Linked DNA regions of Schizosaccharomyces pombe. Each later gene encodes a partner of the first gene's protein in a complex. Each region holds a gene or a part of one and is shown in the gene's direction. Other genes may lie near its edges.

Region 1 (6,201 bases):
CTAACGGTCACCCTGGTATTTCTGTGAATGAAGCAAAAATCAAGTCTGGTGAATCTCCATATGAGAAATATTACCGTCTTCAGGGTGTTGTTGAGACAGTAACATCTGGTGTTGCTGCCAATGGGTCTTCATAATCTACGACTTCTCATTAAAAAGAAATTTTCATAGTCAAATTATCAATGCTATATCTCGTTGCATTTCCTACTTCTTAAAAAGCAGTTTGTTTAGGGAAAGGAGTACTCAAACGCACCTTAATGTCATTGTAAAGTCATTGCTAGACTGCATGGGTATACAAATCTTAAAATTATTTGTACATGAATAACAAATTATCTAAAGGAGCTAGAGAAGAGACGTAAATGTTTTAAACTTTCATTAAAACAATATGTAAAAACCCATCAATGTAACAGAAATCTCGATTGAGCTCGTCTAAAACGCTCTGAAGAAAAATTGTAATACCATGAATAACTGGTTTAACTATTAAGAATTTATCACATGATGGAAACAAGTCGGGAAGGCGTTTATTGAGAAACTCACCAAGAGAACTACCAAGAGGTGCAGAAGTTTGTATAATAGGAGCATTGGCCCCTAAATAAATTTTTAAAGGAATGAATTTGGATTTTGAAAAAAGTATTTTTATAGCAATGGGACGGAAATCATAGTAATCATGATTGAGTATTGCATTCCAGTAGGTGTCTGTTTCTGCCTTTGAAAGAGCGATTATTCCAGACGAACTTCCGTTACGAACGTAATCAGACTGTAAAAAGTTAATATGGATTTACCCCTTTTGTAAATAAATCATATATGTTTTTGTGATAGAGAACGCACCTCTTTTAAGCAGTTGAAAAAATATGTTCGAAAAGTATCCATGGTTTCCATTTGAAGTATTTTGGTTGTAGGAAATAGACCTGAGCGCAATTGAATGCGCCATAGCACCGGCGCTCGAGGAGTATCCGGATCAAACACTGTTAACAAATCGAAAAGTAAGCCAACAGGCCAATGCCTATATTATGATTAATTTACGGAAAGTTACTTTGGGTAAACGATACCATTTAAGAGGAACCCCATTATAATCCAACCAACATTCTGATAAAGGGATTGAAGGTGCCAACAGACGTTGAACATTTGGGAGTATTTGAGCAAAATATGATTGTCGCGGGACGTTAGCCTTAGGTAGAATATGGTGAGCAAAAAGGAAAAAATAAATTGAGTTAAAGAATATTAAATTACTACTTGAGTGAACAAATCACATACTAGATAGGCCAGAGAATTACCTTCATAATCAATGCGCACAGAAATAGTGCCATTCCAAAGGAGCTCTGGAATATTGCCTTTATTATTATCGACATTCATTTTTAAAAAACATCTCCAATACTGTGATTAGAAATTGTGCTTTTGTTGTATACTTAACAAACTCGTGGGTGGTTGGAATGCGTTGATAAATAGCTTAGAGTCAGACATTCACTATAATTAGTTAAATTAATGTTTTTACAATTAAAGTAAGTGGGCTTTAAATACACATAGTAGAGTCTTCAAAAAATTCACCCGAAAATATAACTGGTAATTTATATGTTCAAAATACGAGTTCCTGCTATACAAAAACCGCAATTAGGAATTTGTAGATTCACTGTATTGATTAGTTAATAGACACGTAATGACTTTTCGGAAGTAGAAGTTTGAGATATTCAAGGGACTTGAAAGTTTGCATGCAGTAAATCTCATAAAAGAATTAAAAGCAAGGATTTATATAGCTAATAATTGCAGGCACTAAGCTTGACATGGTCGCACTATGAGTCGCTAGTACGTTTGTGAGACTTTCGCATACGTTCCAGAAACTGTACACAACTTATTTAAACAACCAAATATTTTTAAAACAATACTGGTAAATATGTTGATCTTGAAGAGGATTTTCATTATAAGAAATTTTATATTTCCTTTTTCTAACTGCCGGTATGCCTCTACTGTTCCTAGTCCAAGATCAGGTATGAGATTTCAAAACATTAGTGCAATTTAAATTCCTAACAAGATTCAGGGATTTCTAATACAAATGATTTCTTTAAAAGAATTGGAAGAGATACTGCAGAAAAAGTGAACGGAAAATTCGAGTCTTGGGATGGTCTATTTAGGAAAAGTACAAAAACTATGAAAAAGGAAGGTATTGATGTACGTACAAGGAAATACATTGCAAGCCAAAGAAACCGATTTAAAGAAGGGTTTATAGTTAAGCCATATCCAGTTATGGTTAAAAAGAATGGAGGTGAGCGACGCAAACGTAAATAATAAGTATATGGAATATTATATTCTTTTGAGACATTCTTTCTTCTTTTTGTAGTTGAGTTTTTGCTTGAGTTCGAATTAATCTAAAATTTGCTTAAAATAGCCAACACTGTTCAAAGCATGTCTTTTCTCGACGAAGATGTGGAGCCTAGAACGCAAAGCCGATTAAACAATTGTCCATGAAACCATTTAGCAAATTCTGGAGAATTTTCCATTAGTGCGGAATTGGCGCTAGGGTATTGTCTCCCTCTTTCCAAGTTATTTTCATTTGTTTCGTTCACGGGCTTCCATTCCCACTCTCCTGCCCAGATTAATTTAGCTTCAATTTTTTCTCTAGTCCTAATATATAAAAAATTTTCTTTTAGCTCCATTAAGTCTACACCATCGCTAAATTCCTTTAGGACTGATGTATACTCAATAACTTGTTGATCATTGCCGGATACCATCCAAACTATACGTATAGTTGGTATTTCTATTTAATGGTTATAAATTTTTAACTTCAGCTGCACCTTAAATCGTTTGTTAGCAGATTCTTTTTGAGTATGTGTGCAAAGGTATTCGTTTGCGTTTGCGTCAAAGGGCTTGGTCAATTAGATGAGCCAACTGTGGTAAATTTTTATGTTAGGTTGATATCAATATGAACAGCAAATTTACTCTAAATGTGTACTTAAAGGCATAAGGAATATTTATACTATGTCATTAATCTTCTAGTACTAATCTTGGGCATTCGTTTCTTTTGGCATGGAAATTCGCTGTCGCGTTATCACAAGCCCTGGAGAACTAATTTCTTTGACCGCATTAGTTGTGTTGAGTGATTCCTCATCATTTTTGCCTATTTTTTTTAACTCTAAACTTTCATGCTCAGTGAATACATCATCGAAATCTTTTGCATCCTGGATGGATCGTTTAATTCTTTTATCGCGGATTTGCATGTAACTAACAATACAAGAGCTAACAAAGACTATTCCTCCTACCACCAGCAAACCAATTAATCCTTTTATAAATCGAGGCGTATCAGTATTGGGATACATTATAGGTGCCCACCAAATATGCCAGATATTCTGACACATATTCATCAAAAACACAACAACTCCTCTTTCCTGATCATTATCCCGGCAAATGTCATTTGCCCAAGAAAACCAAACTGCTTGTCCAGCATATGTACAACCAGAAGCGAAATAAGCAAAGAATTTTGCGCCATCTGGCACGTTCCATGCTAGAAGTATTGTAGCAGAAACAGTAGTAATTACGCACAGAAAAAGTCCAAAAGGCCATCTTGGGTTTCCAGCTAATTTATCAGAAATAACACTAGCACCTAACGTTGATACTACGCCAACAGCTGTAATCACAGTTGGGTAATTATTTATTTGGGCAACAGAAAATTTGTTGCTCCATTTCATCCACTGACCCATCAATACATTGACAGCTATAGCTTGTGTTTCTCCGCTAAAAATCCAAAGGATGCACAAACCGTAAATTCGCCATGAACGTACAATATCCTTTATCGCTTTTAGCGTTAATGGCTTCTTCTTGGGGCGAGCGGGTAGCCTTTTGAAACTTAATTCTTTTTCTTGTTCTGTAAAATAAGGAGCCTTGGTTGTTTCTGGAACGTCAGGAAACAGAAAGAGCCCATATAATGAAAGAGGAATCGTCAAAATGCCATCAATTATAAAAAGCCAACGCCAACCAGATAAACCACCTTTACCATTTAATGATGAATGAACTGCTGTTTGCAAATACCCAGCAAACATTGTGCCGACTAAACCAGAGGCTGAAAAAATTCCGGCACGTTTGCATAGTTCACTTTCTTTGTACCATGCGCCCAATATATAATGCGTACCAGCAAATGTAGATGCCTCCGCAACCGCCATGAAAAAGCGTAAAATCATCAATGCTCGAACGGAATGTACCGCAAATGAAAAAATCGTCATAAGTCCCCATAAAATATTCATAACCGAAAACCAAAGTCTTGCTGGTACTCTCTGTAATGCATAAGAACCTGGCAATTGTCCTATAATGTATCCACATGTAAAAACAACGTTTATATCTTGCAATTCATTACCATGCATTTTCAAATCCTCTTGCATACCACTAAGGTATGCATTGTTTATTGATGATCTATCCAAGTAATTAATAAAATATGAAACGCAACAGTAAGAAAGTATGAACCAATCTATTTTTATTAAAAGCTTTTGTTCAACTTTGTTTAATCCATAATAAGGGGAAAAGGTTTTTGCCAACCTATTTAGTAACGCCATTACGACTTGTCTCACTTATGAAATATTCACGACAATTTACAGAGGAGACCTAACTTAAATTTTTATGGCTTTAGAAAACGTACAATTTCAATGGATTCTCATGAAAAGTGCCTATATTAAAGTAAAGCCAGGGACCTAAGCAAGGAACAAACACTTCGAGTCAAAATCGAATTGCAGACTGTTGGAATATCAATATGCTCCAGCCAGGAAAATTTTTTCTTTAATTTTTCTGAAAAATCAAGATTATAAGTATCGATCGAGCCTTCTAAAAAGTGACAATATCAATGCCGGAAACCCAATCTTAATTTTTAGATGTGCGCTGATTACTCGGAATTGGCTAGCAAGTTGGATACTTATTCTCGACGTAGCCACAATGAGTACTATACTTTGCTGCTCTATTTGTGGAAATTAACTGTATTGCAAAAAACATCTAACCTTTCAATTAATAAGCATTCGGTTCAAGTGGCTACAATACAATAACCACTATTTGCGAGATTAAACATACTATTACAGTAACCAACACATTTGAAATGTAAAAAATTGCCATAGTTGAAGCTATTCAGCGTCAGCGAACATCTTCGGAGAGCTCAAATAATCTTAGCTCTTAAGATGGGGGTTTTTTCTGCCGAATACTGTATCTGTTTGACTTTTATTTTTAATACGTTGGAGTAACCGCTGTATTCTTGTGCAACTTGGTGTTTTTGAAATTAACAATGGCACTGTTGATGAACGAAAGTGAATTATAATACATTTTTTGACAGTACCAATCTTATGGAAGTGCCTTGAAATCCTGTTACGTTACGTTTTAGCAAGATCGCTTCTCTTATGATTTTCTTGTTTCAATGGTTTTCTACCCATAATCAATGAAATATGTTTACAAGGGTTACGAGTTTTGTAAAGCAAATGCACTTTAAAAATTGACCAGAAACTTCCATATATTAGAACCAAAATTTTTTGGAATACATTTTAACATAGTAAATTAAAATAAGCCGTTTACTTATTCTAATTTACAGAAGCGCTTCTATAATGTTTAAGTAACGAACGTTTTTGTCACCCAACACCACCCAACTTCGTATCCCAAGATTTATAACTTGTTCGGACAAACATCGTTGGTAAAGACTTGCATCGTTCATTACAGAACGAATTTTATTATTTATAGTTCACATTTGTGAATCTTAAGATGCAATGTCTGCTGAGGGAAAAGCCAAGATCCTTGGCCTTAGTCAATAAGGACCATGCTCTTATGTTTCATTCGGTTCCTCAGAACAAAAACTCTTTATCAGTATGTGTTGCAGAATTTACGGCATTGTCAGAAAAGCCGTTAGAAGGATTTCGAAAAATCTCCAGTCATCGAATTTATGGTACTCTAGGTCTGATTGAATTAGAAGGGTCCAATTTTTTGTGCGTGATTAGTGGAGCTAGTGAGGTAGCACGTGTGCGAGATAAAGAAAGAGTTTTTCGTATCATGGAGGTCTGCTTTTACAGTGTTAATCGTTCAAACTGGGATCACATTCGACAAGAAAATTACTCGCCTGATATTCCGGATGGTTACGATACCGATACCCAAGGCTATGATTCTTACAAGTATGCCGCTGAACCATTCAGTAGTCTCAGAAAGCTATTAACAAATGGATCATTTTACTTTTCTCTCGATTTTGACATTACTACC
Region 2 (3,288 bases), on another chromosome or scaffold:
TAACATTTTCAAGAGGTAACCAAAGTATCGGATGAACCTATTGCATCGCACCTCTTTGATTTAGAAGGAAATGATCAAAATGCAAATGTAATAGCAGAACTTAGACCTGATATCACTATGCGAATTGACAAAGAAGCTCTACCGTTTATGAAAAACATCAATCAGCTTTCGGAAAGACTTTTGGAAAAAAGTTTGGGGTATGTATATTCGGTTTTATTAATTGTTATTGCTTCGGTATGCCTAACAACTTGTAGAAACTCTAAACGATTTAACAACGAAAATGAAGAAACATACTTAAAAGAATCTGGTTTTCACGATTTAGAAGAAGAAGCCAGTGACTCTAAAGTTGTCTTAAAAATCAAAGGTCAAGATCAGTTATTGGAAAATAATTTTGTCCCCTCAAAAAATCAAGTTGGTTTAGAGCCTTTGCCTTCATTGGAAGCTCTTCAACATTTATACCAGGAAGATTCGATAAGCTTAAATCACATTGAACATGATTCTGACTCTTTGGCTGAAGCCGCTATGCAGCTTACTCAGAGTATGCGCGAAAAGCATGAGTTTGAGACCCACGGCACTGCATCAAATTTACCTATTGACATAAAAAATGAAATTGTTTTGTGCCATACCGTTACGATAGAATTTTTGCATCAATTTTGGAATGCCTTGTTGAATACAACTTTCCCGGACAAGAAGGCGATGGCCCCCCTTCAGAATGCTCTGTTAAATTCGAAAAAAAGGGTGGAGGCAATTGCGAGCCAGGCTCAGGAACAAAACGTTGATCCAAAACTGGTTTATGAGGTAAGTTTTTTTTGTAGAGATTTTGATTATTAACTAGGATTAGTTGGTATCCTGTACGCTCACTTCTATTGATACGTCAATCTCGGAGTATCAAAGACGAATGTCTTATCCTCCTGCTTAGGTTTGATAATGTCTTTGGAAACTCAATTGTGCTTGTAAAAGGTAATTGTTTCTGTTTTTCCATATAGAGGTTAATGATATATTGATATATTCTTTATTGGACTTAATGTTCTTTCTTCATAAAGGCTGGAAAAAATGAACATTGAAATGCTGGATATGGCTCTTTTTCTGTTTATACAACTCTTGAATTAAAAAACTTTTGTTTTGGTTTATAGATTCAAAAGACAATCAAAACTGTTTTTAGATTACTGTGCTCATAGGCCAAAATCTAATGTTTTTATGTCTTTATAGATTTTATTATTTATTAAAATTCGTTTTATGACACGAATATAGTATGTTATAAACTGATGTTCAATTAATTAATGTCCCATAATTTCTCTCTTTTGTTTTAAATGCTTGTTTTTACAATTTTTCAATTTATCGCTTCTCTGTATATTATATATAACTTTTTTTTTTACTTTCTTTCAAGGTATCAGTTCTGTATGATCCCAATAAAACTGTGTCTAGCTCAAGTATTAAATTTGGATACACAATTAATGATGAATATTTTAACATCGATTACCTAATTTATCTTATTTCAAGTTAATAAATAAATAGCCAAACGACTTTGAAATGTAGCACGCTAGCGCCTAGTTCCCTTCCCTTTTCTTTCATTTATCCATAGTGTATATGTACTAAGCTTAAACATCTACGCACACCTTAGCTTTCCTACATGCTTTGATTAATAAGAGTAATTGTTTTAAAAATTTCATTCAAGAAGAAAGAACAAACAATAAAGGGCCATGCTACGACTCATAAAGCAACCTTTGTTTCGATGTGCGAGTTCGGGACATTTGATGAAAGAGTCGCTTGTTTTTATCCATCAGACTCGTACTTTTCAAGTTGGAAAATTTACCTCAAATGAAAAATATAATGAAAAAATTGAAGATATCAATGAACGTTCAAATCCACAATGGGATAATGCGGGACTCGAAAATTTACTGAATCAACTTCAAGATTCTGTCGAACAGTCTGCCTCCGACGATTTTATGGGTGAATTAGAGAAAAAAATTGAAGTTGAAAATGAAGAACCGCCGCTAATGGGTACAAATCTGTGGCCTTCTCCGTCAAGTTCAATTGTAGGGTTAATAGATCGACCATTTCAGGTCGACTCTACAGTACAGCATTTGGTGAATTTAATAATGCGAGATGGGAAAAAAGCTAAAGCTGAAAAGATTGTTGCAACAGCGCTCTCTATCATACAAAAAGAAACCGGTGAAAATCCTATAGATGTTTTGAAACAAGCAATCGCTGAGATTTCTCCCTTAATGAAGTTGGTACGTCGAAATTATTGAAAATTTTGGAATTTTTTGTGAATTATTTCTTTTTATAGTGTGTAGACGGATTTGCTAATATTTTGATAGGTTTCTGCAAAGCGATTTAACAAAAGTGTCGAATTTCCTATGCCATTGAAAGAGCGACAGCGAAGAAGGATTGCGTTACAATGGATCCTCGGTGAATGTAAATCATCAAGTCCTAAAAGATTATCAGATCGTATTGTTAAAGAAATCATTGCTATCAGGAGCAAGACAAGCAATTGTTTCAAAAAGAAAGATCATCTGCACAGAATGTGCCTTGTTAACAGAGGTAATGCACCCGTTCGTATATAAAAACAAAAATTCCGTACATTTTTATCTTTTTTATGAATTGCATTCCCTTTTAGTAATGTTATTTTTGTCTAGTATATCGAGAATTGATTACTCTTAGTTATCAACTCAATTATACTACGTAGTGCGCAGTTAATCATATTCATGTTTATGAGGTTATAGTTTGGTTGTAAAATAACTTTCATAATATTCATCAACATTCTTCTACAGCTCCTTTTCAGTTAACGGAAATGCTACAGAATTTATCTTCTATGAAGTATATTGTTGTTTTTTCAAAACAAAGAAGGGAAAGTAAATTAGTTCATCGACTAAACTGTTAATTTCCTCTATATAAATTAAATTGACAATGTACAGCTAGCACAATGCTAGTTTAGAAATAAACAACAACGTGCAAAGACACAGTATCCATTCCTTTATTATGGACAGGATCCATAAGTTCAAACGTGCACGTTTCAAATGCCATTAAAACGTCTTCATCGGATGTGATGGTTATAAAATCGCCATCCTCATCAACATACTTCAGTCTAACCCGAAAAGGAACAGCTTGTTTCAAAATCCCACAAAGCTTTATTTTATGTTCTACCTTGGCTAACAGCTCATCAAATGTTATATCATGAGCAACAACCAGGACGAGACTAACCTCATGTAAACGGAGACGAATTTTAACATTCGTGGTATTTCGAACTGATAGGGAGGTAGACGTGGAACTCGAGCTTAACGAAGT
Region 3 (3,794 bases), 1.2 Mb from region 1:
GGGTTCTGAATCGGACGACATGCGTAGTTTGTTCGGTACACCTGCGTCTTCCTCTTCTTACGATGCACTGTTTGATGAAGAGGTGGAAAAAGCCATTGAAGAAGAAACTAAATCTGTTCAAGCAAATGAGGAGAACGAGACAGAAAAACCCTCTCAAACCGAATCTACTACTAACAATGACAACATAAAAGCTCCTTCCGAATCTTCATCCGAAGAGTCCAATATTTTCTTAACGACGTCTATAGATGGAGTTATGAATGTATGGGACCATCGCATGGTCGATTCTGTTCTCAAATACCCCGTCCCCAAGGGTGTACCACCATGGGCTATGTCTGCATGTTGGAGTCCGGATGGAAATAATATATATATTGGCCGCCGAAATGGAATCGTCGAAGAATATAACATTCACTCTGGCAAGGAGCCTGTTCGCTCTTTAAAAATGCCTCTCGATTCGGGTCCTGTTTCAAATGTCTATTCGATGCCGAATGGCCGTCACCTTGTAATTTCCTCCTTTGATAATATCCGCCTTTATGATCTTCAAAGCAAGGCCGGCATAGGGTTCTTAATTATTCCAGGTCATCATGGAGGTCTTGTCAGTTCGCTTTATGTAGACACTTCTTGTCAATTCATGTTTTCAGCTAGTGGAAATCGAGGATGGCAAGGAACTACTACTGAAGTGTTCCTCGGATACCAAATAATGACTTCATAAAATGCTTTCTCTAAAACACATATTCGCAATAATGTACATTATGATAATAGACTGAAAGGAAGTGGGTTACGATTTAGTCGGTCAAATACAAAATGGTCTTTGAAAGGCACTTTGGATTTTGCCTTAGTAGGGTCAATTATATGCCTATTGTCGTTTAACTTTAAAAATCTTTTTGAATTGTCTCCCTTTCAACATTTGAAATAAACATCTCAGTTAAAGTTTTTAGAATAATTGTTAAGCCCATGCACTCTTCATTAGTTGATTGCTTTTTGGGTTTTTGGTTACTCTCTAAATAATTTGAGGTAAGTTTATAAATGTTTCCTTAAACCTATTTCCCCTTTTTTGCCGAATATAATAAACTTAGGTATTAAGCTGAGATTGTTGGTTATGAACTTTCTGACAAATATGATACACAAATCGTTTTGTTTGTATAACATGTATTCTAAAACTTTCCTCTACTTTAATTTTCAATTTGGAATTTCCTAATCAATTTAATGCCATCCATCCGCTTTATTATTTGTTGATGTGTCAATTGCCAAACAAAAATATCAAGGACATGCGAAACTCTTGTCTAAAGAAGCAATGACCGTATTTAATGAATTTTTTTCGTTTGATTCTGTAGAAATTATGACTTAAATTGTGTATTTATTTTTTAAGTATTGATGTGTATAACTGTTCGTATCCTAATATTGGAACTGACTCTCAAACATTCTATAGAATAAACAAAATCTTACTTTATTGCATACTGAGAGTTATTGTCTCATAAATAAATCAAGCGTCTGTATGTTAATCGGATCTTATAATGGAGCTAGATTGCTTGACCGCCGGAGGTTAAATTTGAGTTTTCCTAAATCGTCTCATTAATTATTGGTTTTTTGAAGTTTATTTTCTATATCTATCTTGATGAATAGAATTAGGGCGTGTTACTAACTTTTGGGGAGTGACACAAGAAACCTTTCCAACGCACCTAAATGAGGAATTCAGTGGAATTCTCACAGTTAGGGCTTAAAACGGCTTTTAATTTATCTCAAAATAAAACTTATACCTCAGCAGTCAAGAAACAATTCTTTAGTACTGGAGCATTTTTAAGCAATGGGGGAAATATTGATTTAAATAAACACACTCAAAAGAACATTGATTCAAAGTACGTTGCTTGCAACTCAAGATCTGTAACACCCCCAAATGATGTTGCTTCTTCAGTTTCTAAGAATACACTTCGTCATAAACAACGTTTAATGATGGCTCAATGGTTAATGTCTCCCGAAGTACAGAAAGCAAAGTCCTCATCATCTGGTAATGTAGGCTTGGGACCTAATACAAATCAGCCCTTCCCTTTAAACCCTTTTTTTAAGCCTCCTAGGCCTATATCTCATTCTTTGCGTATGAAAATTACCGATGAATACTTGCAGGGTGCAAGTATAGAAGTGCTTGCTCGAAAATTCAACACATCTCCACAAAGGATTGAAGCTCTTATAAAGTTGAGAAGAATAAATGATGAATTCGAAGAAAAAAAGAAGCCGATTCTTCATAGTTATAATGAAGTTATGGAGAAAATGCTGAACGCATGTACTAAACCTGAGATGATGCAGTTTAATGACGGAAACGATATTCCTTTGCGTTCCAATCCAGTATCCCTTTGGAAGAGTTTGCCTGAGGGAGAAACGTTTACACCTCAAGAGGCTGCTAAAATCCTGAAGTGGCCTTCGATTGAGGAATTAAACATGAGACAAAACGCTACTCACTTCCACAAAACATCTGATGAGCACAAAGATTTGAATGAAGATGAAGAGCTAATTTCTTCAAGCCCCAGCGAAGTTGGGAAGCGTGTTTTTAGGCTCATTGATCTTTCTACTGGTAATGTGTATAGAAGGGATACCGGCGGGGATATTTATGTTAAGAGAAAAAAATCTACTACCTGAAAATCAAGCATTTATTTCCCGTTTTTGAAAGAAAATTTACCCCCTTAGCATGCATTAGCGGCAGTACAATCCATTTCAAACTTTTGCGAAATAAAATCTTGAATTGTTACAAATTCACTCAGCAAATTCTTCTAGTTGTTGCATTATCTAAAAGTTATTTGTACATATAAAAATTGCATAGTTTTTTTTGCTTTCGTTGCCATATTGACTTTTTCAAATTAAACAAAGAAACTTTTTTTAGCCGTTTAATACAAATACTGATAAGAAGGGTTGCACATACGATGAAACAGTCTATACAACACTGTGCTTCAGTTTGATTTAGAACAGAAACTTATCTAACATATTAAATATACATTGTGCCAGTTTCAGAAGCGATGAACACTATATTGTATGGTTCATAACGCCGTCAACCAATTCTGTGTCAAGTCCAAATTCTTCTTTTATGCTTTCAAAGTAATCTCCAGCAATGACATGATTTAGTTGTTCTACGACTTGCTGAATTACTATGTCCTTTTTCGTATCTCCCATGATGATGTCGAGATGCTCATAGTTAGGAATCTTTAATTTTAACTTGTTAGTTTCCACTTAAGTAAATGAAGCTACAACTGTTTCAGAACATACCTGAATGCATTGAGATAATGGTGGAAGTTGGGTCTTGAGTGTTTCAATGTCCACCATGTTATCGTTACTGCCATAAACTAAAGTAATAGGTAGACGTATATTTTCAATCGGATAGCGAGCAATTCGGTTAAGATTTGTATAGTAACTTGGCTTAAATCCTGGACTGTCATCGTACATTTGTAATACTTTGCGACGCGTAATTTGAGCCCAATGTACAAAGCATTTGACAGAAGTAAAGGAATATAGATGGGAGTATGCAACGATTTTCTGAGTTTCGGAAATATTTTTTCCGGTCCAGCTCAGAAAAAAGCGAAGAAACAGATCAACAATTTTTGCAAAAACTGGCGGATATAAAACTGCTTGCCAAAACACAGCAGAACCAAGCATGGAATTTCGACCGAACATTAGGTAAAGAAGTTGGCTATTAGCGTGAATAATAGATTTAACGGTTCTACCACTATACTTTTTAGGAGCAATTGCAGGAGCTAGAGCAATAAATGCTCGTACGGAATTGCGAAGTTCAGTATCAATAGACAGCGCTGCAA
Region 4 (2,969 bases), on another chromosome or scaffold:
ACAATAGCATTATTTGTAAGCAAGCTATATCGCATTCGGTCTTGGACTTTATTAAAAATTGGGAGGAGAGATAAAAATATTGAAAGATCACAAATACTTGGGTAAGCTTTGAATAAAGAATGCAGGCCAATAAGAGCAATAGTAATAGGCAAGGGCAGATAATAAAGACGGATCGAAACAGGGAGAACAAACATCAATGGTAAAATGGCAAATACAAAAAGGAAGAATGTGCGAAATTCATTGAACATTTCTGTAAAAAAATACCACCAGAGACCCAAATTCGGAGTTAGATCATGAGAGTCCAAGTATACCCTAAATGGAATTTTCAAAAAAGATAACGAGTTCAGAAAGAAGCCTGAAGTTATTATCAGACCTGCAAGATAAAAAAGAAAAACAACGAATATCTGACGAAATTTAATGGATGAATTGCATTTTCTTAAAATAAGATAGGAGGGGAAAAATAACAGTAAAGCGTTAGGATTAATGAATACAGTCAATGCCATACAGCATGCATAAATTGCATAGGATCCGCAAGAGGCGAAATAAATGGTCATTAGAGTGGTGAAATTAAGTATCATGTCTGCGGAGCAAGCAATTCCTGGAAGAAATGTTAATGGGTTAAGCAGATAACTAAAGTAATATTTTGTTAGTAAATTTTGAGTTAAGGATACTTGTTTGCGACACAAATATATCACAGAAGTACACATTTTCAATATCGACTACGAAATCTGTGTAATCAACGCAGTTCAATCTTTGAACAGTCATCGTTAACAATTTTGTAAACCAACGATACAATGCTTTTCATTTTTTTGAAGAATGTCTCACTTTTTTTGTCGCAAGCCATATGCGTAACTTACATGACGGAAATCCATAATGGTGAACAAGTAGATAGTACTTGATTTGGGTCTAAAACACGAGCTTGTTTTGCAATTAAATACACAAAGAGACCTCCCATAGTAGAAATGCTAGTATAAACAAATCTGGTGACAGATATTCCTCCAAGCAACTCACAACAATAATTTAAGATCAGTAGAAGTGGAGACTGATAGAAAACACCACCAGAATAGGGGTCTAGTCCGTTTTCATACAAGTAAAGTCCTTCACGAACACGTAAAAATCCGGATACAGGCGTCGATACTTCGATTCGCCTGTAAAGGAATTCAGCAATCCAAGTGTTTGCTAAATACCATTGAAGAAAAAAAGAAATTGATAATAAACCTAATAGTTTTAGCTTCTCATTTGGTATCATTGCAAAATCTTCACTGTTCAAAAGATGGGTTATATTTGTGTTTTCAATTCACCAATCTTCGTTTAAATTACAGTCGTTGGGTATCCCAAATGATCCGTTTGAAAAACTTTTAAGGCAGCCACCAAAGTAAGATTTTTAATTTTTTATTTCTTTATTTTTTCTTTAAAACGAGAAGAGTGTTTTAGGTTAATATTTACACGTTCATACCACTACCACAGGTTGAGTAACATAAGTTACCTGGTATAGAAATTATGGTATTGAAGCACTCGGTTACTTACAATTTGTCATTTTTCATTTCCTTTACATTTTCATCCATATTTTTTAGTTCTTTGATTTTATTTTTGGTTTACAAATCGGTTCTTAGCAAGCTATTTTTCATCAAATATCTAATGCTTAATTTAACAAAAGTTGGACTACGAAGATTTTGGAGCCAGAGTCCTAGGCGGAATGCGCCCAAAAAGGAACTCTCTTCTCTTTTAGAATCCACAATCACTCCAAAAGCTTTTTCAAAAAGGACGGAGGAGCCAAATCCGATTATGCAAGGTACGGATACCATTCCAATGCCATTTTACCTTCATGCCAAATGTTTGAAGAACAACACTCACATTACACTTTGTTCTCCTGAAAGAAAAATTATTTTTAGGGCCTCTGGAGGAACCTGTGGTTTTCGTAAAGGAAAGCGCCGTGGCTACGATGCTGCTTATACCATTTGCTCCAAGGTGCTGGAACAAATCCAAGTAAAGCGCCTTGGTATTGAAAATTTGCATGTTATATTTCATGGTTTTAGTCAGGCCAGGGAAGCAGTACAAAATTGTTTATTAGGGCAAGAAGGTGCCGTAATTCGAGACAAAATTGTAAAGGTTATGGATCGAACACCTATTAAATTTGGAGGACCGAGAGGTAGAAGGGAGCGACGCATATGAAGTATGTTTATATTACTTTTCTGTTTTCTTCGTTTACGTAATCTTCCTGTGCAGTTAATCTGCTGCCCAACATTGTTGGTGCTTTTCCACCGTTGTATTTGACCTTCTGAACTTAGAAATGATTTATTAATACCGGTGTGATAGTGCAACATGATTTCTTAAAAAAAACTATATCCCATCTCTAATTCAACACAAATAGTTTTTACCTATCTTTCTCTGTAATTTATGAAATGCAAAAGACATTATTATTCCCATATTATTTACATTATAAATAATGACCGTCACTGATCAATAAGTAGACACTTCTATATCTAATTTTATCTGCCATACTTATTACATTACAACTGCTGACACCATATCAATTTCAGACAGTAAATATTCATAAAAATCGTCATCGACCCAATTTTCAGAGCCTACTGCTGATAATCGACTGGATGTGCGTTCTTTCACTTCTGAAGTGTAATTTAAATCTCCTTTTACGAACCAAGGCTCATACCATCTTCCCAAAACATCTGCGAATGGGCAGACGTACTCGACAGATTTATCATGCAGGCAACGAAAATATGTGTTTGATAGTTTTGATACCATTTGTAATCTTCTTGGTAATTCTTTTAAGTCATCCTTATGTTCATCAATATTGTCAGCGCTGTCATTATAATCGAGTGCATTTTTGTCAATTTGTGTCCATAGTGAGCCTTGGAAACAGACAATGTCATCTTCGTTTACATAAATATCAGATATGTACATAAAACTTGTTTTTTGAAGTACAGATGGCAGTGAAGATGTGGATATAACAC

What was found.
Region 2: fyv4 (region 1) and rsm7 share a complex: the UniProt entries of both Schizosaccharomyces pombe proteins name them as parts of the mitochondrial small ribosomal subunit.
Region 3: fyv4 (region 1) and bot1 share a complex: the UniProt entries of both Schizosaccharomyces pombe proteins name them as parts of the mitochondrial small ribosomal subunit.
Region 4: fyv4 (region 1) and mrps18 share a complex: the UniProt entries of both Schizosaccharomyces pombe proteins name them as parts of the mitochondrial small ribosomal subunit.

The regions. Positions count from the first base shown.
Region 1 is NC_003423.3:3,431,841-3,438,041, forward strand, and holds fyv4 (mitochondrial 37S ribosomal protein mS41 ), read left to right. Parts: upstream 1-1,827; 5' UTR 1,828-1,885; coding exon 1,886-1,979; exon of another isoform or gene 1,980-2,029; coding exon 2,030-2,277; 3' UTR 2,278-2,387; coding exon of another isoform or gene 2,388-2,720; 3' UTR 2,721-2,987; coding exon of another isoform or gene 2,988-4,532; 3' UTR 4,533-5,668; downstream 5,669-6,201. Other genes in the region: U1 snRNP-associated protein Prp39, read left to right, coding at 1-134; autophagy-associated protein Atg5, read right to left, coding at 362-754, 826-1,000, 1,047-1,165, 1,252-1,350; SPOM_SPBC4B4.12C (uncharacterized protein), read right to left, coding at 2,388-2,720; plasma membrane pantothenate transmembrane transporter Liz1, read right to left, coding at 2,988-4,532; syj1 (inositol-1,4,5-trisphosphate 5-phosphatase 1), read left to right, coding at 5,713-6,201. UniProt on the Schizosaccharomyces pombe protein: Component of the mitochondrial ribosome (mitoribosome), a dedicated translation machinery responsible for the synthesis of mitochondrial genome-encoded proteins, including at least some of the essential transmembrane subunits of the mitochondrial respiratory chain.
Region 2 is NC_003424.3:3,518,173-3,521,460, reverse strand, and holds rsm7 (mitochondrial 37S ribosomal protein uS7m), read left to right. Parts: upstream 1-1,619; 5' UTR 1,620-1,700; coding exon 1,701-2,234; intron 2,235-2,321; coding exon 2,322-2,567; 3' UTR 2,568-2,747; downstream 2,748-3,288. Other genes in the region: transcription factor TFIIH complex subunit Tfb1, read left to right, coding at 14-197, 255-798, 842-919; RhoGEF Scd1, read right to left, coding at 2,935-3,288. UniProt on the Schizosaccharomyces pombe protein: Component of the mitochondrial ribosome (mitoribosome), a dedicated translation machinery responsible for the synthesis of mitochondrial genome-encoded proteins, including at least some of the essential transmembrane subunits of the mitochondrial respiratory chain.
Region 3 is NC_003423.3:2,230,998-2,234,791, reverse strand, and holds bot1 (mitochondrial ribosomal protein subunit S45), read left to right. Parts: upstream 1-1,669; 5' UTR 1,670-1,680; coding exon 1,681-2,628; 3' UTR 2,629-3,009; coding exon of another isoform or gene 3,010-3,186; 3' UTR 3,187-3,249; downstream 3,250-3,794. Other genes in the region: SAGA complex subunit Spt8, read left to right, coding at 1-709; SPOM_SPBC14C8.15 (triglyceride lipase-cholesterol esterase), read right to left, coding at 3,010-3,186, 3,250-3,794. UniProt on the Schizosaccharomyces pombe protein: Component of the mitochondrial ribosome (mitoribosome), a dedicated translation machinery responsible for the synthesis of mitochondrial genome-encoded proteins, including at least some of the essential transmembrane subunits of the mitochondrial respiratory chain.
Region 4 is NC_003424.3:4,966,426-4,969,394, reverse strand, and holds mrps18 (putative mitochondrial ribosomal protein subunit S18), read left to right. Parts: upstream 1-1,532; 5' UTR 1,533-1,638; coding exon 1,639-2,172; 3' UTR 2,173-2,405; downstream 2,406-2,969. Other genes in the region: gab1 (Pig-U family GPI transamidase subunit), read right to left, coding at 1-630, 858-1,249; SHREC complex subunit Clr2, read right to left, coding at 2,506-2,969. UniProt on the Schizosaccharomyces pombe protein: Component of the mitochondrial ribosome (mitoribosome), a dedicated translation machinery responsible for the synthesis of mitochondrial genome-encoded proteins, including at least some of the essential transmembrane subunits of the mitochondrial respiratory chain.